2 linked regions of the Lepisosteus oculatus genome follow. The protein of the gene in region 1 interacts with the protein of each later gene in a biochemical or structural test. Links are inferred from orthologs where the notes say so. Each region holds a gene or a part of one and is shown on either strand. Other genes may lie near its edges. The genes, in order: cabin1 and mef2d.

What was found.
Region 2: the proteins of cabin1 (region 1) and mef2d form a complex in vitro, tested with the Homo sapiens proteins (2 studies listed by BioGRID). The link is inferred for Lepisosteus oculatus from reciprocal best matches to the Homo sapiens genes CABIN1 and MEF2D.

Annotation. Positions count from the first base shown.
Region 1 is NC_090717.1:9,544,235-9,556,145, reverse strand, and holds the start of cabin1 (calcineurin-binding protein cabin-1), read left to right. Parts: upstream 1-6,746; 5' UTR 6,747-6,821; intron 6,822-7,469; 5' UTR 7,470-7,514; coding exon 7,515-7,517; intron 7,518-8,250; coding exon 8,251-8,343; intron 8,344-9,178; coding exon 9,179-9,292; intron 9,293-9,885; coding exon 9,886-10,020; intron 10,021-10,746; coding exon 10,747-10,927; intron 10,928-11,911. Other genes in the region: ddt (D-dopachrome decarboxylase), read left to right, coding at 1,589-1,696, 2,264-2,439, 2,918-2,990. UniProt on the Homo sapiens protein: May be required for replication-independent chromatin assembly. May serve as a negative regulator of T-cell receptor (TCR) signaling via inhibition of calcineurin. Inhibition of activated calcineurin is dependent on both PKC and calcium signals.
Region 2 is NC_090722.1:4,540,781-4,552,230, reverse strand, and holds the start of mef2d (myocyte-specific enhancer factor 2D), read left to right. Parts: upstream 1-6,698; 5' UTR 6,699-6,906; intron 6,907-11,450. UniProt on the Homo sapiens protein: Transcriptional activator which binds specifically to the MEF2 element, 5'-YTA[AT](4)TAR-3', found in numerous muscle-specific, growth factor- and stress-induced genes.

The sequences.
Region 1 (11,911 bases):
TGCAGAATTAAAATAAATGATAACATGTTCAGTCAATACTTCTGTGGTTGTACCTGACTCGCCATCAACACTATTTGTCAATAAGGGGATTATCTCATTGCTGTATCAACCCCTTTATTTGTTTTTCTTGTGCAAAATGTAAATTATCAGGATTTACGGTAAAATAAATAATTTTAACTTTTAAAATGTTTTGGAAACATGTCCATATCTTTTGCTGCCAGCAGTCAAATGTAATATTCTGAAATATTTATTTTGAAAAAAGTAACTGTTGAAAGGCATGAGTCTTTAAACCAGAAACAAACAATGTATATAAACCAAGATATTACTGTAAAACAAATCTAGCCCTAATTTGATGACAACAGAGACACAACACATGATGTGACTCACTATTAACCAGTTTCATGAATTATATCCTACACCTTGTTAAACGCAACCCTAGGAATGTGTTGCATGACCACAGGAAGTTGTTTTGGGAATCGCTATGCTAAAATTAATTGGGATGCAACACTGCCATACATTAAATGTGTACATTGTGTGATTAATAAGGAACCTGTTTTTCAAGTGTGGTATTTGGTTATTTTAATAGAGTTCTATATTGGATTGAATACCATGCATTTCCACTTTATGTGATGACCGTACCAATCAATGTGAAAAAAAACACCCCTATCCTTTAAGTCATGCATAACTGGATCAGTGGGTTTCTTCTTTAAAGATCTACATAATTTATACAGAACTTTCCATCCAAAAGGTTTGCAGAGCATTTTTCATAGAGTAGAGGATGTGACCAACTTCACCCAGCTCTTGGGAGCAGAAAAAAAGATAAAAGCATAGTTTAGAAACAAAACATCTTACTTCCAACATTCCTCATAAATTTTAGGTTACAAAAAGTAAAAATGTCTTAAGTAAAAACGTATATTTATAGCATGCAATTTCTGAGTAGAGCTCCAGCAACTGAAGCAAGCATGATTCATGAGAGAAATCATGGAATGTCAGGGTTCCATAAAAGCACATCGCAGAATTTTGTCCATGCACACAAAAGAGAGAGTTTTTTTTCTCAGTCCGGACCACCTTTTCGTTATAAATGAGCTTCTGATAAAGAGAAGGTTACGTCCTGTGCACACACATTGTTCCTGAATAGACGAATGATTCGATCTTGGAGCTCAGTAACGCTACACTTGATTCAGTATTCAATGTTCAATGGTCAGAATAATTATTGGAAATAATTAACTCATGAAGTCGTATGGCTCTTAAATCCGATATTCTTGTAACTATACAGTGAACTTGATGCTCGCACTGTGTCATTGCCTTACTGTAGACAATTTTGTGAATACCATTAAACAGGTTCATCGCATTTGTTTTCTAGATTTTGTGATGCGGCGGCAGACATATTTAACCCAGACATATTTGCTTTCAAAACTGAAGGAGTTTTCCTTGCTCTCTGCGCCTTTAAGAACGCCACGGAACAGGCGTTGCGGACGCAGCCAATGAGCAGTGAAGTTGCACCGCTTTCCGGCTTGAGGTGTCCTCGTATAGTCCCTTAGGTTCTGTAACTTCTTTCGTCTGATTGATAAAGTTTGTGGAGGACGCTATGCCGTTCATCGATCTGGAGAGCAACCTGCCTTCGAGCAAATTTCCCGACGAGTTTCTGAAAAAGATGTGCTCCAGCACGGCGGCGGTACTAGGGAAGCCCGAGGACGTGAGTGTGAGACTGAACTGCTTTCACGGCATATTGGATGCAGCTGAAGCAGTTCTGATTGTGCTTGAAGCGTCCTCGAACTTGGACGATACATTGTTTCGGATTGGGGACTTCCACATCGAGTAGTTTGTATGCAAAATAAAGTTCGTTTTAAAAGGAAGGAAATCGCATAGTGTTGATGATGGAAAGCTACGTTTCCCCTTTCACTTATGTATCTGTCTGGCGCTTTCATCCAAACGGGTTTAGCTTTGCATCCACCCATTCATTCATACAGCTGGGAGATTTCGGGTGAAGTACCTTTGCTCAAGGGAAACACAGCAGTGACCCCCCAGAGATTTGAACCCACAACCTTCCAATTAAGAGTCCAGAATTCTAACCACGGATTCACATTTTTTTAAATTATGCCACTGCCAGATTATCAGTGAATGTGTATTTGATGAATTGCACATATGCCTGGGGATGGTTATTATTATTATTATTATTATTAATAGCAGCTGTTGACTAGCCAGGCTGGAGAGGACAGTTGTGTGTGCTTGACTCCTGCTGTTTTCGGCTTCTCCTCCACAGAGGATGAACTTGACTGTGAGGGCAGGCCTGTCCATGCTCATGGCTGGCTCCTCAGCTCCTTGTGTGCAGGTCACTGTCTCTGCCATTGGGGTGGTGGACAGTGCGGAGAAGAACAAGCAGCACAGTGCCAAGATCTTCCAGTTCCTCACCCAGGAGCTGGGGCTCAGCGAAGACAGGTCAGTGCACTCAAGAGCATCCTCAAGTACCCTCCAGCCCCTCCACTGTCCGAGAGTGGCACTGGAGGCTGTGTGTCTTAGATAGATGCTGCACATTACACATATTACCACGCAGTTATGGGGAAAAATAAAACCACCACAGAGTTTTACACAATTTCACACAAAATTCGCCCAGCCATTTTCTAACCACTTCCAGTTCAGGGTCATAGGGGAGTCGGAGCCTGTCCCAGCAGGCTTAAGGAAGATATGGAAAATTCAGATACTTTTTATTATTAAGAGCCCTGCTGTTAAATTAAACAGCGCCTTAAGAGTTTCTTTTACACAAAGGAAGGTATCATCCTCAGGTTAGATTTCTAATGTTAACATATTTTAAGAATTTGGTAACAAAGTTGTCGAGTTTGGGGACACAATGATTGCGATTGGGCCATGTGAATGGCTTACAAATGGGGCTCAAGATTTCTCATTTTCCTCCTAATAGGATTGTCCTCCGGTTCTGGCCTCTCGAACCCTGGCAAGTTGGGAAGAAAGGGACTGTGATGACCTTCCTGTGAAGAATGAGGATACAAATGTCACATTATTGCTGCAGTGCACCACCAGGAAAGAGAGTGTGGATTGTTTCTTATACTTGACAGTTGTGTGCAGAATGAAGCACATTTTTCTGTTTAATAAATTCCTAGTGCTCCTTATATGTAACAGATATCAATGTGACACACTCAAAAATAAAAAAAAATATTATAAGAAGGAATGTTGTCTAGTCAAGGGATCCCTTTTCCAGATGTATTTCTTTATAAGGACGAACAACATGAAAGGATTGTTATAAATTCTTACTTATGGCTATGAGGCATTAAAAACAGAACGGAAGGTCAATATATCAGCAGCTTTTAGAGCACCTTTGTCTGCTGTGTAAGACTGAGATTTATCCTACACAGCTGGCTAGACTGGGTGTAAAAACATCCCCTGTGAGAACTGGTGTGATGTATTGGCTGGTTCTGTTAGAATAGGAGGTTAAAAAGAGTGACCTGAGGATATTCATTAGTTTAGTTAGATGCTGGTGCCTGGAATTGAATAAATAATTGTAGGTATTGACTAATTGGAAAAAGAGATTCTGTATTTAAGTGAGCTGAGTTCCTGACACGGTGTTAATATTTGTTCTCTGTTGCCCTGAGTTTTCTCTTTCTTCCTTCATTGGTCTGCTCTGCTGAACTGTCTAACTGTGAGTGTCTTCTGGTAACCCTGCATAATGCCTCACTCCCATTGAGGTATTACCACCTGAACCTGGTACTCAGAAAATCTTTAACATGTGTCTGCTTATAGCACATTGCTGATATTCTGATTGATACTCTTTTATTTTTTTAATTGCCACATTTGAAAGTCTTTATCTGTATATTTCAAGGTATAATCATCATGAAGAGAGACCTTAACGTGACTGTGTACGTTCACTTGTTCTATCATGCCCTCTTGTTCTCAGTTAGTGAAAATGAGCTCCGTGAAGTTGCCCCCCCCTACAGACAGCACAAACGATGAAATCCACCTCATTCGTTAGAGCTACGTTTGTGCCGTTGAAAGTAGCGTTTGTGCTGCTTTTGTTTCCGAGATATAGCACCTTCTTTGATTTTGATCAGTTGACCCCAGACTTTGCAGCCTTTACATGAATAAACAGTCTTACATTTAACCATGTTCTCGAAAATGTATTGCTTGTGTACTCGTTTCATTGCTGAAGAGACACCAGTTTCCAAATGACCGCTTGTACAACACGAGAGCCCATATTCACATTTTTAGGTATTGGTTTCAAGATCGAGATAATTTAACAATTAAAAACAGAATTGAAAGTACGAGCATAATAATATAACGATCATAGACTTACATTTATATTTTATTTTTGAAGTACAAAGCAGAAGGTGTTTCCCATACCTTAAATATACGATTAAAATTGTTCAAATACCACGTATTCATTACGGAAAGCAGCGGAGACAGTTATACTACAAATAAATGTATTTATTTCGAAGGGTACGGGACATTGTGAATCAATAAAGACGTCAATAAAAACAAGCCGATGTAGTTATTTTGCAAATAAGTAAAGCATTTTAAAAATAGTTTCTCATTGACAGTGAACAAGCCGATCCACCTGGCGCTGCTGGCTTGAACAGCTCTCGGACCCGTGATTGGCTAAACCCCCGAACAGCTCGGGCCGCGATTGGGTGAAGAGTGAGAATCGACACTCTGATTGGGTAAAGCGCCACAGCGGAAGTTCTGTGTACCGTGTGTGCTGTATGAGCACGCTGGATACACAGTAACAGTAACACATCCATTGGTTTCCGATTACTGATCAATCTCGCACAAAGTCGCCCTGAGGTTTAAACAGAATAGCAGACAAAGAATGTCATGGTATCCACAGCGCGTTCACGACTCCGATAGCATGTCACGATAGGAGTGCGCGCATCACGATCACATGGCGATACCCATTGCGACTGGCGCGACATTAAGTCCATATATTGCGATATGACATACCGACAAAACGCCCCCGCCCCCATGTCGCGACATGGAGACGGCATATCGCGATATAGCGTACCCCCAACAAAACGCCCACCCCCATGTCGCGACATGAAGACTGTATATCGCGATATGCCATCCCCCAGCAAAAATGCCCAGCCCCATGTCGCGACATGAAAGACTCTATATCGCGATATGACCAAAACTGCCATGCCCATGTCGCGACATGAAGCCCTATATATCGCGATATGACCAAAACTGCCACGCCCATGTCGCGACATGAAACCTGTATATCCCGATATGACATACCCCGACAAAATGTCCCGCCCCCATATCGAGACTTGGAGTCCATATATGCGACACACAAAGTCCATATATCGGGACACGTCCTATCTGGGTATATCATGTTCTGATATGAGACCTTTGTTGTGACAGTGGTGCCAGGGTGCCATGGAAGCAAGGCGCCACTCGTGATATACACTGCCGCGATATACATGCCTTATACATGGGGTCCCTATCATGACATGCTGCGGAGGTCTTGTCGCGATGGTATCCCACAGTTACGCATTTGGAAACAGCGTGTCACGGTAGGGAAAGAAAAGAAAAGCGTCTTAGATAATAAAAAACATTGATCTTACAATCACGGTGATTTTACATACATTATAACCACAGTTTTATGTCATAGATAGTTAACTTGTTGGCGTGCGTCATGTCTAAGTATAAATCACATCTAAGGCGGCTCATATGTTTATGGATATTGATTGTCTTTAAAATGTTAAGGGTACGAGCTAAACTGTAACAGAGCGCTTGAACTCGGCAGACGAGGTCAAAGTCGCTGTGCATGGTCATGTGATCACCGGGAAAACAAGGTGCTATATCTCGGGAACGAAAACAGCACAAACGCTACTTTCAACAGCACAAACCGGCACAAACGTAGCACTAATGAATGAGGTGGGTTTCATCGTTTGTGCTGTCTGTAGGGGGGGCAACTTCACGGAGCTGTGAAAACGCTAACAAAAAATGTCACTTGTACCAAGTATGTCCTGGAAATGTGGGGATTTAGTTTTAAAGTGGGTCTCATCAGCGTTATTGAGGCACCGAAGACCTGCCTTGGCTGAGGCACAAATAGTTAAAACCTATACATCTGATTAACAATGGGCGCTTTAATGATAATTAATGTAATGCATTGGTTTAATTTAATGCAAATGATAGCATTCTTCAGCTGTAATTACTTCTGTATGTAAACAAAACATTCACGTTATTTGCCGCGGTGTCCATGAATAAACTTGAAAATTATCTTGTCATTGTCATTTGTTCCTTTGGAAATATGAACATTCCTTTTGTAGAATAAAAAAAATAAATTGGGTTAAATGTGTTTATTTACAAAGCATTTTTGTAACTTTCACCTTTTTATGTGAAATTTAATCGAAGTTTATTGCTTTATAATTCATACTATCCCCTTCATAGCTGCATGCAGAATAATATTGTCTTCCAATTGGAGTAAAATAAGACACTTTTACCCTTAAAAATACCGTTGACAGTAGAAATCGAATTACAGTATTATAAGGATAATATTTCAATTTGAGTCTTCTTCATGATACTATCATTGATAGTGTTAATCTTGTGTTGTCTTGGGCCAGGTTTAAATAGCAATTACTTGGAGCAAAAGATGTTTAATCCGTTCTCTCATCAAACATTTTCCGATGTAGAGTATATGGACAATAGTCCACAGAAGTTACTTTCCACAGAACCCAGTCCTGCTGTGCCTGGTTACCAGCATATGAGTTTGTGATTGGCTGAATTTCACCGGCCAGACTGAACCAGTAGGATAGGCTGTTGCTGGCAGATGCTTCACAACAGACAAGCAAAGTGCAGTTTGGAAAGGAGCGCAGGTAAAGAATTAAAATACGTTTAACGCTATTTCATGCATCGTTCTGCGCACCTCTATTTATATAAAAGTCAACAGTTAGGTTTGTTTCTTTTATTTAAAACGAATACAATCTTGAGTATTTGTAGTGTTGCAGAACATGCTTGTGTCACTGGGGAGCTGATTGAGTTATTGTATAGCTGCGAAAGGGTGAAGGAAACGCACCAATTGATTCCTGATTACAGCTAAAAAACTGAAAATGGTAGAGTTAAATGTTATAAATACATGAAATATACTGAAATCTATCGTTGCCAAAATGTGGTTTTAGTTTTACTCGGCAAATTGTTATATTTCAAACGTTTACCTTAGCATGTGGGATATTGGTGTGCAGCCATATATCAAATTAATGGTGCTGCATGTAATTGAAAGTAATATTTTGTGAATAACGTGTTAATAGTATTAATAAATACAGTCCATTATATATACTTCCTGAACCCCCTTTCTTAGAATGATCCAGAGAAACATCAGAGAGCTTAAAATACTTTAACGCTTGTATAGTATGTTACGATTGTGTTGATAAACAAATGCCTGCAGTTTGTATCAAAGAATAAAACAAAAACATCGCGATAGTTCTGTCATAAAGCATTTCATTGAAAAAGGCTGTTTATTGCAGGTCTTCTCAACATGAAGTAAGAAGAATCTGGTGCTGAAGAAAACAATGGTACATTTTATTTTCTCTCGAAGAGCAACGTGTGAAGAAAACCATATTGATTTCTTTTAATTTTTGTATTTTTATTAAGTTAATCAATTAAATAATTACACAGACTGGCCTGCTGTTCTTCGGGGTTTAATACAAATTGTAATTGTTTTGATGTGAACCCCACACTTCAGACATAGCAGTGATTTTGAATGAATAATTAAATGTTATTTTATGAATCAACAAAGGAGTCATTCTTTAGGGTCTCAAATTCCACAAAGTATTGCATTGCATATTCAGTTTAATGGCACTTTGTAATATAATTATAGTAATATAGGATTATATTGAGCATGAATATACATTCAAAGTTTCACTCATTTTTAAGCTTTTTCTTGGTCACATTGCATCCTGGTAGGGGTTTTATTAAACTGGCTTCCTTCCTGTGTTGGTTTTTGCGAACCTTTTCCAGCCTAAGGCACATGTTTTTACGGCATTCACTAAAAAGTGATATGGTCCTGGCCGCAGCAGTTGCCTGCTGGCCTGGAAAAGCCGATATGTTTTGTCGGTGAATTATTTCCAGGTGGGACTGGTTTGGAATTGGGCAGCGCACCAGTTGATGTCTGATGGCGCGCTTGTTGGGAAACGCTTCCCGACGTGACACCGTGGCCTCTCACCCGGTCTTTCCCTGGAGTTGAAATAGGTGTGGTCTAGGCTCATCGTGACCTCCTGAAGGCTTGACCCTGGCTTTTACTTCCAGATCCGAATCGCTGCACTGAATGCGGCCTCGGCAACTGGGGACGAACACGATGACCTGCAGAAAACCAGGAAGACGCAGACCAAGGAGGCCCAGGTGAGCTCCCTCTGGCTTAATACCCACGTTACCTGCTCTCCTGGGCCATACTGTTCATAGGGTTCAGGCATTTTATATCTTAAAAAATATATGTTATTATGCAAAGGAACAAGTAATAGGTTTATTCCATGCTGAAAAGAGAAGAAAGAAAACGCAACGTTTCGGCCCTGGAGCCTTCTTCAGGTGTGAGAAAGACAGGGCAGTAAGCAAAGGTGATGTACAGTAGCAGGAGAACAAAAGCTGGTAGAGAGGAGGGGTGGGAGCAGGGGACAGACAGAGTGGCCACTCGGTGGTGTGAAATTAAACCTACAGTGAACAGAGAGAATTTAGAAGAAAATTAGCCTGGTGTTGAGACAAGGGTGTGATCCTAGCTGCAGGATCATTTTATTTTCTGTAGTCTTTCTGATGTGGGAGTTGGGAAAACCATTTTTGAGAACACACGCGGAGAGATTATATTTTATTATATTAATCAGTATGGAATATGCATGTGTGATAAGCGCATCTTCCTCTGCTCCTGCTGGGCTTTGATCCCGTTTGCCCCTGGGCTCCGTTCTGTCCAGTGACTCTTCCTAGACAGCAGATGACTCGGCCGCGCACGCCAACAAACTAGTCCTGCGCCAAGGCCGAGTTTTACACTGCACTACGCTTTCAGAAGAGGGTCACTTCTGTAACGGGCTCGGGGCATTGCTCTTCAAGCATGTGCCCAGTTTGCTCTTGTGTTAATGGGGGAAGCAGCAGTTTGGTAGGTGTTTGTGTATTTGGTGGTAGGCGGAAAGCTGAAGGTCTGAACAGTGTACAGACTGTTGCACAGTTTGAGCGCTCTTTCTCTGAGTAGGAGGCAGAGGCATTTGCTCTGTACCACAAAGCTCTGGACCTCCAGAAACATGACCGGTTTGAGGAGTCTGCAAAGGCCTATCACGAGCTCCTGGAGACCCCGCTGCTTAAAGAGGTGAGACAGTAATGTACACAATGGTGAATTGTCCCATCATCATACGACTTACAAAATACATCTTTTGCGTTGTGTGACTAGTGTTCATAGACTTACAGATCAGGTCATTTTACTTAGGATACAGGATAAATAGCAAATATTTCTAGGATCTTTGGGTGATTGTTGGAAAGTAAACTTGGATTCCTGTAGAAGTGGTGAGTAATGTTTTTGTTTGGGTTAATGTGTTTTGTGTTATATTTTTTTATGTGTACTGTTTCTGTGTTTTATTTTTGTTTCTCTGTGGGTTGAACATAACTGCTTGGAGGCAAAACAAATTTCTGAGAAATCAGATAAAAATATTATTGTATCATATCGTCAATAAAACTGTTGCTGTCTTGCACTAGGGAAGTTGGTAAATATTTTCAAATGGATGCATTTTCATTTTTTCATCTGTCCATCTTTCTGTCGGGCTATCTATTAATAAATACGCCAAATGTAAATACACTAAAGAATGAAATGAGGCAGTTGACTGTTGGAAACCTTTCTAAAACCCGCTTTTCACAAAAGTATGCTTTCAAGTTCCATGACCTGGGCTCTCTCCCTGGATTTTCCAGGCGGTGCCTTCAGATGTTGAGAAGATAGGGCTCAAGCACCCAGGGCTGATGCTGAAATACTCCACTTACAAGAACCTGGCCAGCCTGGCCGCACTGCGGGATGACCTGGAGACAGCCATGGACTTCTACCTGGAGGTAGATCAGATAAGATCACTTATCTGCATTAGGAATTGGTCTTTTTTTTGTACCCCAGCATGCTCTCCCTGAGACACATAGGCATACAGACGGGGAGAGAGAAGCTTGGGGTCAGAGCGCAGGGTCAGCCATTTATACAGCACCCCTGGAGCAGTTGGGGTTAAGGGCCTTACTCAGGGGCCCAACGGAGTAGGATTCCTCTGCCGGCCGAGGGATTTGAACCGGCAACCTTCCAGCCACAAGCGCAGATCCTTAGCCACAGAACCACTGCTCCCAGTTAATACAGCCACTACAGCTGAGAATAAATTTCCAGCTTCTGTAGTGGAATTACCCCTTTTAATTTGCACAGGTCACATCATTGTTCTTTAGATAAGCTTCCTGAAGCTCTTATTGTTAAATGGCATCTGTAAATGGAGTAGGGGGATTGTTTTTTTCAGTTTGTTTAGTACATGCTCATTTATTAGTGGAATTACTCACTAATTTCTGTTGAATATAGTGCTACAAACAAATATCCCTAAATTGTTGCAGGCTGCAGTGCAAGTGTGTGGCCAAAGCAGACCTGAGATTGTTAGGGTTTAGTCTAATAATAGAATAATAGATTTTATCATTTGTGATTAGTTCTGAAGGAAAGGGAACAGAAATAATTCTGAGAAAGAGTAGCATATTTTTATTTTGTGTCTTTGTGCTATTTTGCCGGAGCTACAAGTTGTATGTGTTGCGCTGTAGGCCGTCCTCCTGGATGCCACCGATGTGAACATGTGGTACAAGATTGGCCAGGTGGCGCTGAGGCTGGTGAAGATCCCTCTGGCCAGACACGCCTTTGAGGAGGGACTGCGCTGCAACTCCGACCACTGGCCCTGCCTGGACAACCTCATCACTGTGCTCTACACACTCAGCGACTACAGCTGTGAGTACCCCCACCTGCAAGGTGGAGAGCTGTGGGCCAGTTAGAGGTGGATATAAGTGCTTTGTAAAATCTTTAAAAAGTGGTTAAAGAATAGAATAATAACATGTGCCTCAGATTTTCTTTAGTAATAGGCCAACAGTGTTTTGTTGTAAAACTGCCTGCAGTTATGGAAGACACAAGATGGTGCATTAAACAGACATGGTATTGAGAAAGGGTTTGTAATGGGAAGAAAGGTACTCTTACATTCCAATGTATAGCTGATCAGAAGAATGTGGTGCTTGCCTGCGATGCTGAAAAAATTAACTGGCATTTTGAACTTTGGACGACACAGTGGTTTAGTGGTTAGCATTGATTGGGGTGCCTCACAGAGCAGGGGCCCTGGGTACAATTCTGGCCCTGGAAATAGATCTGCGTGGAATTTGTATGTTTTTCCTGTTTTTGTGTGGGTTTCCTGTAGGTGCTCCAGTTTCCTCCCACAGTCCAAAGACATACGAGTAGGTTAACTGGCTTCTGTGAAAATTGACCCTAGTGTGAGTGTGTGCGTGTGTTTGTATCTGCGTGAGCCCTACGATGGACTGGTGTCCCATCCGGGGTGTGTCCTGCCTTGCACCTGTCGCTTACCAGGATAGATTCCAGCTGCTCCGTGACTTTGTATTGGATAAAGTGGTTAAAAAACAAATGGATTTTAAACCTTTGCTTGGCCAGTGAAGATAAGTTCATATCTGGGTATTTTTTTCCTTTTTCCAAAATAAGTACGGTCCAATGTAAAATGTTTCTTTTGGCTTAGTTTTAATGAAGCCGTTTGTGGATTGAAATAAGTTTTTGCAGTCTGCAAGGTTGCTGTCACCAAGTCGTTAACTCCACTAGGAGTTCAAGAGGGGGGAAAACTGTCTCTGATCAATTATACATCACACAGCCACAGGGCAGCCTTTTATCAGCTCTTAGCCACAGGCTTTTCCCTCTAGACTCCGAAAAGCTGAATTG
Region 2 (11,450 bases), on another chromosome or scaffold:
CCACCCCCCCCCACCAGTGCTGGTCGCCTGGAACCACCTGGGTGAAGCACATCCCTCAATAGCAGTGCCACAGCAGGGACTCGAACCCACAACCCCCAGTCATGAGTCGAATGACCTGATACACTACTCCACTCTCTGTCATGAAGACAGAGGGCTCCAGAACTTCATCTTAAGTGTCACTGCCACACTGCTTCAGTGTTAAATTAGTCAATGTCTGACTTTAGCGTGGTGCTGCGCTCAGATAGCGACTTGTTGTTGTGTAACTGTGATACAGAGGTTGTCAGGCTTATCGACATTCAAAGCCGTTTTGATCACCGGTTTATTTTTTTTTGTAACCAATTGACTTTTGCTTTAAAGATCTCCCCATCAGAAAATAGAGTTTCCAACTCCGCAAGACTCAAGGCGAAGAGTTCATCAATGCATCTGCTGAAACAAGGAGAAAAGGGGCTTGAAGTCTTTCTTCACATGAAATACTAACATTTTCTGTTTTTTTCCTGTTCCTCATGTCGACAAAACTTCACAAATAATCATCATTTTTTCATAAATATTGGATGAAGTGTGTAATTATTATTATTATTATTATTACACTTACATAGCGCTTTTCTGGACACTCCACTCAAAGCGCTTTACAGGTAATGGGGACTCCCCTCCACCACCACCAATGTGCAGCATCCACCTGGATGATGCGACGGCAGCCATAGTGCGCCAGAACGCTCCCCACACATCAGCTATCAGTGGGGATGAGAGCAGAGTAATGAAGCCAATTCATAGAGGGGGATTATTAGGAGGCCATGATGGGGTAAAGGCCAGGGGGGAAATTTGGCCAGGACACCGGGGTTACACCCCTACTCTTTTCGAGAAGCGCCCTGGGATTTTTAATGACCACAGAGAGTCAGGACCTCGGTTTTACGTCTCATCCGAAGGACGGGGCCTGTTTACAGTATAGTGTCCCCGTCACTATACTGGGGCATTAGGACCCACATGGACCGCAGGGTGAGCGCCCCCTGCTGGCCCCACTAACACCTCTTCCAGCAGCAACCTTAGTTTTTCCCAGGAGGTCTCCCATCCAGGTACTGACCAGGCTCACACCTGCTTAGCTTCAGTGGGTTGCCAGTTGTGAGTTGCAGGGTGATATGGCTGCTGACGTAATGCAAACTCTAACCAGATAGCAGTGCGATGACTCTTCTGAGGGTTTATAGTGTAGATTGCACGACAGCAGCACTTATTAATGAGTTCGATTAACACAATTGCTCCTGCATCCATGTGCACTAATTTAAGTCCAGTTTCGTTGCTCTCCAAAGACATGCATGGCTACAGCAGTCTAGCCATGTACCAGGAGTTATGGTGCTCAGTGTGTAATAGTGCAGGACTCTTCCTCCGAATTCTGGAGGAAGGGGTGGGCAGGAATCGAACAACCCCCCCCCCCCATCCTTGGGGAAGGCAGATGCCTTCTTTGCCCCCCCTCCTTCTTGTCTCAACATAGAAACACACGAGCGGGTCCAAACCCGAGGAGCTGTTCGGCCCCGTCCAGCCTGTGTGGTGGCCAGGGATCTCATCCAGGTGTCTCCCGAAAAGGATCCATCAACAGGTCGGGGCAGCTTGTTCCCCACCCCCACCCCTCTTGGCGTAGAGCCGCGCCTGCCCGCTCTCAGTTTCGAATGCTCTCCCACCCGGTGTCCACCCGCGTCCCCTGGCTCCTGCTTCGCTGACCCCTCTGAGGAAGTCCCCTGGCTGTGACGCTGTCTGTCCCCCTGAGGACTGTCCAATCTTCCCCAGGTTCTCTGTTCCAGACTCGGTTCCTTCAGCACGCCCCTCCCTCAAACCCTGGAATGTATCTGATGGCAAGGGTAGTGTCCACAGGCATCTTTCTGGACGTTGTCCTCTCTTTGAGCCCTGTCCACTACAGACCCAGGGAAGAGGCATCCCCCTCACTGGCCTGCCATCTGTTCTCATTGACATTTCCTCTACAGATTAAGTGTAAGCTCCTTATACACACAGATACAAAAACCCGCTGTAATCCACCGTCCTGCTGGGCCTACTACACACACGAGTTTATCCTTCGGTTCGTTTTTTCCTTCTCCGGAGTGTATTTTTAAAGACCGCCAGCGATGCTCGTTCTATTTTAAACCCACCGTTCACTGTCTAGCCCTGGCTAGGATTGGAAAGAAGAAAAAATAACAGCACCTAAAATAACTTGTTTTTTGTTGGGTTTTTTTTAATAGAGCTGGCTGGCTCCGTGCAGCGCGCGGCTTCCTTCATGCGCGGGCGCTCGTGCGAGGGCTGCCTCCGCTGTCCCTCCGCGAGGGTGGCCTGCGCGCGGGTGCCACAACCCCATGGGCGCTGGACTCGGGTTGTGACCAAGTATTCGTCCCCCTCACGGCCGTCTACACTGGCGCCTGCCACTCAAACAAGACTTTAGTTCATTCAAAGTAATCTACGTGCAAAAAACCAAACAGTCACATTCTCACGATCGCTGTAGGAAAACTCACAGCTCAATTAAATCTGCCTTTCAGGTCTGTGGTCGACTGACCCTTAGCACGCAGTGCTGGATTCACATTAGTAAGGTTTCGTGCTTCTTCAAAGTGCCTTTTTAGTTTTGACTATTGCGCTATCGTAGCTGCTTGCCGAATGAAGATGAGCGTCAACTTCCTGAAGAGTTCAATCTTAAATGATCACACCGGCTGCAGCTACAACGCCCTAAGGAGAACGCCTAAGTGAAAAACGAAATGGGACTTTTCTCTTAAAAGTATGTTCTTTTTCGCAACCAGCTTTTAAAACTCCCACTGCGATACAGTCTGCTGGGGCGTGTGCGGGTCGCCGAGAGCCGTTCAGTCGCTGGAGGTGTGAGGGTGTCAGACAGCAGGGGTTTTTACTGTATTCCTCACGCCCGTCCAGTTTGGAGTCGCGGACTGTGTTGCTTACAGTCAGGCTCACAGTGACACCACCTGGACCGGGACTGAATAAAGGCCCGGGATCGCCCCCCAGCTGTCCTCGCGAGTCAGCGCCCAGTCCAGTCGCCACCTGGAGGTTTGCGTGACAGGGTCTGCGGCGCCCCGCGGGGGAGTGAGCGCTGATTGGAGGATCTGCGCTGATGTCACAGCAAGCGCGAGAGCCCCTTATAAAGCCTCAGAGCCAGAAGACCCCTGGCTGACTATCTCCACAATGCTGAACAGTTTTTTTTCCCCTCAAAAGGCTTTGTTACTTCAGTGTTAGGAAAAGCATGACAATTATTTTTAAACTTAGATACACTTAATGATGGTCTTATTATTGTACCTGAGTCTTAGTCCTTATCTTTTTATACTAACTACCAATTAAGCACTTTGCAGTTTTCTATTAAGTACATAACTGCTTATTAAAACGTTGCTTAAGGCTGGGAGGCTACCTTACTGCCACTTACTGCAGGTGCAAACCCAGCTCCAGATCAACTGTACCCTTTAATTGTATAACAGTTCATAGAGAAAGAAAATGCATATCTTTTCTGACGTATTACTGCGATCTTCTTTAATGGCTGAGATTTCGTCTAAAATGTAAACAACAGCAAAGCGCGTGTGGTCCGGGTGACATTTAAATCGGTCCGGGTTGCTTTAACTTCCCCCACATGCTGACCGGTAGTTCTGGAGACTCTGACGCAGTTGTGACGTACGTGGAGGTGTAAGGAGAATTTGGAGCGAGGCGTTCTAGAATAAACGAGACATTCTGTCCTGCCGCCCTCACCCCGCGTGGCTAAAGAGCGCGTGTGGTCCTATTGGAGGGACGCTACTGGGGTCTGCAGCAATATTTCAAAGGTCTGGCCGCTCCTTCCCCCAAGACACCACCTGGTCGCTGTCCTACTTTGCTTCATTTTCTCCCTGCCCTGTAGCAGCCTCACTGCTGTTCTCACAGTAAACACTATATCCCTCCGCCGTCCACGTACGAAATAGTCCCTTTTACTTCTTCGACAGTAGTTTTGCTTATTTAAGCCTAATGTGAGGCCTTACTTATTTAAAAAAAAAATGGAAATCTCCATGTCTTACACACGGGGAGTGTGTGTGTATGTGTGTGTGGGGGGGTCTTTTCGGGCAAAACAATATCACGAGTTTAAGGATCGGTTTGAGGTGTCGGTGACACAGTTGCCTCTTTCGCTCTTTGGCAAGAGATGGAGGGGAAGAACACTTTTCGATTTTGACGAGCGGCTTGTTTATGACCCGAGGCGCTGTCGTTGCTTTCTTTCTTTTTCGAAAGCGCGAAGCCGGCAGCCGGGGAGCACCTTCGCTGCAGATAAACACAGGGCAGCGCAGAGCTGTTGGAAGTTTTGCCCTCATCGTCTGTAAAGGTCACCCGCACATTCCCGCTTCGGTACAAGCGCGCAGCCTGGACAGTCCGGCCCAGGAGCCAATGAGCACACCCACGTCCGGTATTCGAGGCATCCCGAGCAAATTCACACCATAAAACTATTTTGATAATAGTGATAATAATAATAATAATAATAATAATAATAATAATAATAATAAGGAACAAGTAATAGGTTTATTCCATGCTGAAAAAAAGAAGAAAGAGAACACAACGTTTCGGCTGTGGAGCCTTCTTCAGGTGTCCTGAAGAAGGCTCCACAGCCGAAACGTTGTGTTCTCTTTCTTCTTTTTTTCAGCATGGAATAAACCTATTACTTGTTCCTTTGCAGCCTACGCATGCTGACGCAGCTACCCACCTGACATAATAATAATAATAAAACTTTATTTGATATAGCGCCTTTCAATGTGGCGTCTCAAAGCGCTTTACAGAATGACAACAACGATCAATAAAAAATTCACCCTATAAAACATAATTACAACGCACAGAGGAGACCGTGGGCGGTGGTACTAAGTGTGGTAGGAGCAGAGGGGTAAAGAATGGAACCAGTTCAGCAAAGGTTAATATCTACATCAATTATCTAAGGTAAGTAAATATCCCATCAAGCCCCTGGGTGGCAAAGTTAACGATATAGTCGGAGGAACCTCCACCGGCCTGGTTCTTTCTGAGAGTAAAGGGCGTGAAAAGTCTGAAACTGCATTCTTTCTTTTTTTTTCCCGGATCTGCGGCACACACAAAAATAGCCCCTTCTCGCGCTGAAACACGCCGTTCCGTTAAATACAGGGCGATTTCGCCCCGGCTGGACTCTTACGTAGGTTAATCATCACCAACTAACAGCTCGCCCCGGGCCCTGCTGATGTATGGGCTCCGGTCAGCATGGCTGGGACCGGCAGCAGTCGAGTGAATTTAAGACACTTCAGCCACGTCGGCATGAACCTCGCTGGTTTAACAGGAGTTCAGTGCTGTCAGTGGAGGCTGGGGCGCGTGTTTTCACATTTTTGGTTTTGTTTTCGTCTTTTTTTTGCGCGTTACTCATTTTGCTGAAGCCTTATGATTAAAAAATATATATATTCCAATGGTTGTTTCACCTGCAAACAATCCGGTAGCTGAAGATTCAGGGTTTTTAATTGTATTTTGTAAACTCGGAGCGACGCGCGCCGGGCCTGAGCGTGTCCATCCTGTTATGTTCACCGTCTCTAATCAAGGCACCTCCCGAGCTGGAACGTTGTCTGTGTCGTAAGTCGTTTTATCGTTCACGCAACGACTCAAATCCACCCGTGAGCCCTTAAAAATGGTGTTTAAATCATGACGCCACAAGACTTTGCCTTGTGGAAAAACAAAATACAAGCCGTGCGCTGGCAGAGGTGAAACAGCGCAACGACCTCGCTCCTGAAAGAGAGGGGGTGCAGTTTCCGAACTGTAGTTTCTACTGCTTTCCAAGTCGATTCTATTCTTAAATTATAATATATATATAATAATAGACACATTTTCTTTTGAAAGTTACAAGACAGGTCTGTTGCTCTTCCAGGATGACAAGTGTCAGTTTTTTGGGGGGAAAAATTGATATGATTTTTGTTGAATTGCTATTTTAATAAGACTTGGATTTTATACACACTTGAAAGCAGAAATTTGCAGCTCACATTGTGGAGGCTGGATTTCAAAATGCAACCAGTGCTTAAAACAATGCAATAGTTTTTAAAAAAGTCGCTTTTGAAAATTCCTTTGTGCCATAGTAGCTTTTGAACTTTTAAAATCAATATATAGGCCAACTTTGGAGCAACAAGAGTAGAAGTTAGAAATTAAAGGAAAATAATAGTATTCTAACTTAATGCTTGTAGTGTTAGATTAACATTTTTTGTTAAATAAATTATTTTATATAATGAGGATGCTATATTAACAGCGCTGGGCCAGAGACATACGCTGTCTGCATATTTATGTCATGTTGCGAGATAATAAAAGGATCATTTGTGTTGTATTTGGCTGTTCAGTTTTTACTGTAGATTATTTTACAAACCAAAAAGTAAACCGGTTATGAAAAAAAAATTAAATTAACTGAAGTGAAGAGGATCAGTACCCATAAAGAGGAAGAATCGTACTGTTGGTGTTTAAAAATGTAAGGCGGAAAAAAAAAGGCCTGTACCTTTAATAGAGACATTTCCTTCCAAATAATCCAAGCAAATCTAATTGACAAGGCGGAGGGATACACACTCGTCAGTCAAACTTGAACAGCCCCCCTCTCCCTCCCCTTCTCCTCTCTCGCGTTTACACAAACAACCTATCCTTTCTGCCCGCGTCTCATTGGTCGCGCCGCGCCAGCCGCCGTCCGCGATTGGCTAAGGGACACGCCACTCAGGAGAAGAGGGCCATCCAGGTTAGATTGCACGATACTTTCTACATTGTATCATTTGACTGAACTAAATAGTTACCTTGTACAGCCAAGACGGGGGAAAAAAAGAGAGGGGGACGGAGTCTTTTTTTAAAAAAAACAGAACGACGTCCTTTATTGATACTTTTTTTATCGTAAAGGAAATAGCGCTACCCGTTGTGCCTCGCAGCTGTGGAAAAAAACATTCTCGGGTGAGTGAGACATTAGATTCCTTCCTCTGGCGTTTTTGACGTCCGCACAGTTGCTGCTGCTGCTGCTGTGGTTGTTTTTGTTTTGCCCCACGAATGTCGGTTCGCTTCTCGCTCCCTTTTTCACAAGTTTGTCGTGCTCAGCCGGTGCGATCTGGCCCCCGGAGCGGGTCCGGACACCGTCGGTTTTGCTGTTTACTCCGGCTTTCTCCGTGCCCGGTCTGTGGTCCTCTTGTCGTTGCTGTTGCTATAATGGCTGTCGGCGATCCCCTCCACCCCTCTCCAGTCTCCCAGGGAGGCTTTGGGAAACAAAGATGGGTTCGAGACCCATTTCTGCGTGTTCGCCTTGTCCTCCAACCCCGAGAACATTGCGTGGGGGTTGTTTTTCCCCCCCTCTGCTCTTCTGGGGGCGATCCGCGCTCCGTGTCGTCGTCAGGGCCAGCCGTCGTGACAGGAGCTGTCAAAACCCCCCGGCTGAAGCTGTCAGCGTGGATTTGGTCGCGCTGTGGAGACGAACTGTGTTCATTTCCGTGGCACGTTTTCGAGTGGATGTGTTGTTGTTGTTTTTTTTTCATGACAGGGTGGTATTTTCCTGAAATATGAGTTGAACGCCGCTCCAAAATAACATTCGCGCGTGTATGTGTATGTGTGGGGGGGGGTTATTCGGAAAATGGTTCGTGTGCTGTATTATTTACTTGCATAGAAAAAAATGAATGTTTTGAGATGTTTAAAATGAGGGATCGCTCCTCAGGAGGGTATGCCTTGAAAGTGGGTTGGCACTGATCAAACAGTTGGCAAAACGAGAACAAGCGTCTTTTTGGGGGGCCATTCGCGTAGGAAAGCTAACTCTCCCGCCGCCCGGGTTGTACCGTCACCATCAGACGACCCCTCGGCGGCGGACTGGAGTTGACGAACAAAAGCTCCGTTTTCGTCACGAAAGCGCCGGCCGGATCCGTTTTCGAGAAAGAAATGCGGGCGGCTCTCAGGCGAGTCCCGCACTGCGTGTGGAGCCAGTCTGTGGGGTGGCTGTTGGTGGGACGGGGACCCCCCGACTCGCCTGACCGTTATTTTTAGGGAGGTTTGGATCGACCGACCTACCGCCGAACCCAGCACACGCGCTGTACCGTGCCGCGAGCCGCTGCGTGTCTGCGTGCTGCTGCTGACGACGACGACGTCACTGCTTCGGAGGGTGCCCGAGCCCTCTTTTCCTGCGCGTGCGGCTGTACCCTACCCCAGACCGCCTTGTTGAGGGTGCGAGGGGGTCTGTGTGGAGGAGTTGGGGTACAGAATGGGGAGGGGGCGACCGCCTGCCCTTAACGCGGCGACTGTGGGAGCTCCGTCTGCGAGGGCCCCGTCCCGACGTGAAGGAAACAAGGCGTCACACGTTTTGTGTTGACACGGAGTCTCGTTGCCGCCCGCCCCCTCCGCCAAAAAAGTCTTTTCCCCCTTCCTCTCCTCAAGTAACGCCGTGTTTGGTAAAAAATAATAATAATCCCCATCAGTATTATCATTATTACTGTTAATAAATACTTAACCCCCACACTATTGACGTTAAAGTGGCTGTGACGCCAGGGATACTGTACTGTACAGTAGAGAGAAAATATCAAACCCGCTGGTCACCATAGAAACACAGAAGTGTGAACTCTTCTCGTCGACGCTGCCCCAGAAGGACCATCGCGGCAAAAGGGAAAATGAAGCTTTAAAAAACGTTCGCCGTGTTTAATTTGATGTCCCAGCTGAAAGAAACCCGTTAAACACGGGATCCGTTTTGAAACGTGTCCGTCCCGTTGCTATAGATTTCGGACTTCGCAAAAGCACAACAGATCGTCCGGCCCGCCCGCTTCATTTGGAAGGCAAAGCAGATTTTGAGTCCGAATCTCGAGTTGGAAGCTGGGTCATCGCTTTAGTGCAGCCTTGGTTCTGGTCCTGGGATTCGCTGCTACTGGGCCCTGTATTTAATCAAACTGCTGAAAGTGGCTGGAGATGTTTAATTAGGAAATGACGTACTGTAGTTAAGAGCTTTAAAACAGACAAATGAGAGGAGTCATTTGTAGCCATTAACAGTTATTTGATCCATGTATCTCAAGCCAAAGTATTGGCTTTAACCGCTTGGCTGGGCAGCGTGTTCCACACTCCCACAACTCTTTGTGTAAAAAAAAAAAGGTTCTTGGCTTTAACTTGTACAAAGTTTCCACTTGTGTCCTCTGGTTGAACAACTTCCCACACCTAAGGAGCTGAAAACAATCAGTTACAGTTCATCCTGTTTTTCTTTCAGTGAGGGGTCAGGGCAGGAGCCATGCTGGGCTCAAATCAGAGCTGTGCAGAACTGTGAAAGGAGTGTGATGGGCAAACCTGAGCTGTGTCCGACCTGACGCCCCACTGGGCTTCAGGCAGCATGCGGGGGGGTCACTGCCCGCGGCCCGCGGACAGGGGGAGAAGACGCGACGTTCCGGTTGTAGAGGGCGTTCACCTGCAGCCTGTGAGCTCGCACAGCCCCCCTCGTTTATCCCTGTCAGTCCTGCCCTGGGCTTGTGACCCAGTCCTGCCAGCGCAACACTGAATTTCCCTTCCGGTCCCGCAGGGCCACGCCGGCCTCCTGGTTTTTTCTCCATCCTGGACTCGGTTCGGACCGACGAGTTCCGACGGAGCGATGTTGTGAAATGGTGTTTTGTGTCCTGCGCTGTTGCCCTATCTGCTGTAGGTTGAGGGGCTCTTGTTGTGGAAGACAAATGAATACAGGCGAAATCAACTCTTCCCGACTCGGTTAATCAGCTGTTCCTTTCACCCGGCCAAGCACTCTGTGGCCAAGTGTTGTGAAGGGCACTGCCCCTGGTAAAACGATTGATTGATTGAATGGCTCTGTTAGCCAGTTAGCCAGTTCTTTACTTGCTGAGGCTGACGCGCTGGCTGTTAAACCTGGTGGACTGTGGCTCTCCAGGGCCAGAGGCGAGTGGAGTTGCTCTCTGAGCAGAGGCAGTGAAGTTCGTTATTTCCCACGGAGACCCTCGCTGCAGAAACTGTAAAAAGGCTTGGACACACGGCGTTTCCGCACCGCCAGAATCAATGCAGACCTCTCGAAACCGACACATAACTGCTTTTAGTGCACTGTTGTCTTAACCCTGCTTCTGGAGAGCCGCGCTCCCACAGGGTTCTTGGATAACCATTAAATTGTTCATTTCTCCACGTCTGGAACGATTTCATTCTGATCAGATAAGCAGGTGGTGTTAAACTGAGCGATTTAGCGGTCATCTGGAGAATAATTCACAATACCCTTCAACCCTCAAGGACCACAGTTGCCTTAATTGAGCACACCTGCTGTTTTGTTTGTTCCAATTGAGCGCTGTTACATGATTGAACCCAAAATTGACCTAATAGGATTAACTTGAACTCCTTGTTTTCAGTTCCTACACATCAGAGGCAGACCTGTTGTGTTTCACAAGTCATTTACAAAGCTCAGATTATTTTTTTTTGGGGGGGGGGAATGCTTTCTGATTCTGAAAGCAGTCAGAATCAAGGAGCTCATTCCATTAAGGAGTCAATTAAGTGAATCGGCTTAATTGATTGTTAGCTTTCGTGTGTTCCCAATATTCTGCAAACACGAATGGGGCTCTCCAGGGCTGGTGTTGGAGGCTATGTTCAGGGTCGATGATCTGTGCTCAAGGGAGCTTGTTAACATCTTCTGATTAAGCAGAACTGTGACTATAACAAAGTCCAGAAGATAACAGTGGCTTTTCTGGACCAGAGAAGCTCTCTTTACTAATCTTCTGATGTTAGATTAGAGCTTGCAGCTGGACCTGTGATCAACCTAGAGGAAGATTTTTTTGGGTAATTCTGACGCAGGGGTGTTCAGTCAATATCACCGTTAGCTCCTCAGCCAAGCACAGTGTCCAGTGTCCAGTGTCCAGTGTCCAGTGTCCAGTGTCCAGTGTCCAGTGTCCAGTGTCCAGTGATCCCTCTCCTCTCTTCTGCGCCTTTGTCTAGGTCAAGTTAATCTTAACACCTCTGAATGGCAGCACATAAGAGGAACTGTAATTGTTGATTATCGCTTGGCATTACTAAAATAAATATACCACAACGCACGATGCTGTTATTTTTGTATATTTTGTATTGGCACTATTTCTTAATTTTGTTGCTAGCCATATTGCAGATTTGGTGGTTGCCCTGTTCTAATTTTTCTTGATTTACTTGAGCTGTTTGCAAGACATCTGACCATCTGATCAGTGGAACCCTTGGTCGACAATGAGAAACTAAACCAGCTATGCAATTCTGCTTAGTCTGTACATTCATTTAATTAAGTTTAGAGGTAACATGCAGGGCCTGTTCTATGTCAAAGTGATTGATTGATCTGGTGTTGGCTGGCATCCCTAAGTGGGATTCTCAGGGCCAGGTTAGGGAACGCTGACCACATAATACTCTCCCTTCTGGTCCTCAGGGACTCCAGTGTCTTCTGGCGTTTTCCCTGCCGGTCTCTCAATCGCCAGTGTGAACTGGTGCGTCTGCCCCATGTCAGCTTGCTCGTCCTCTGCACTCGGGCCTGGGTTTTAGAA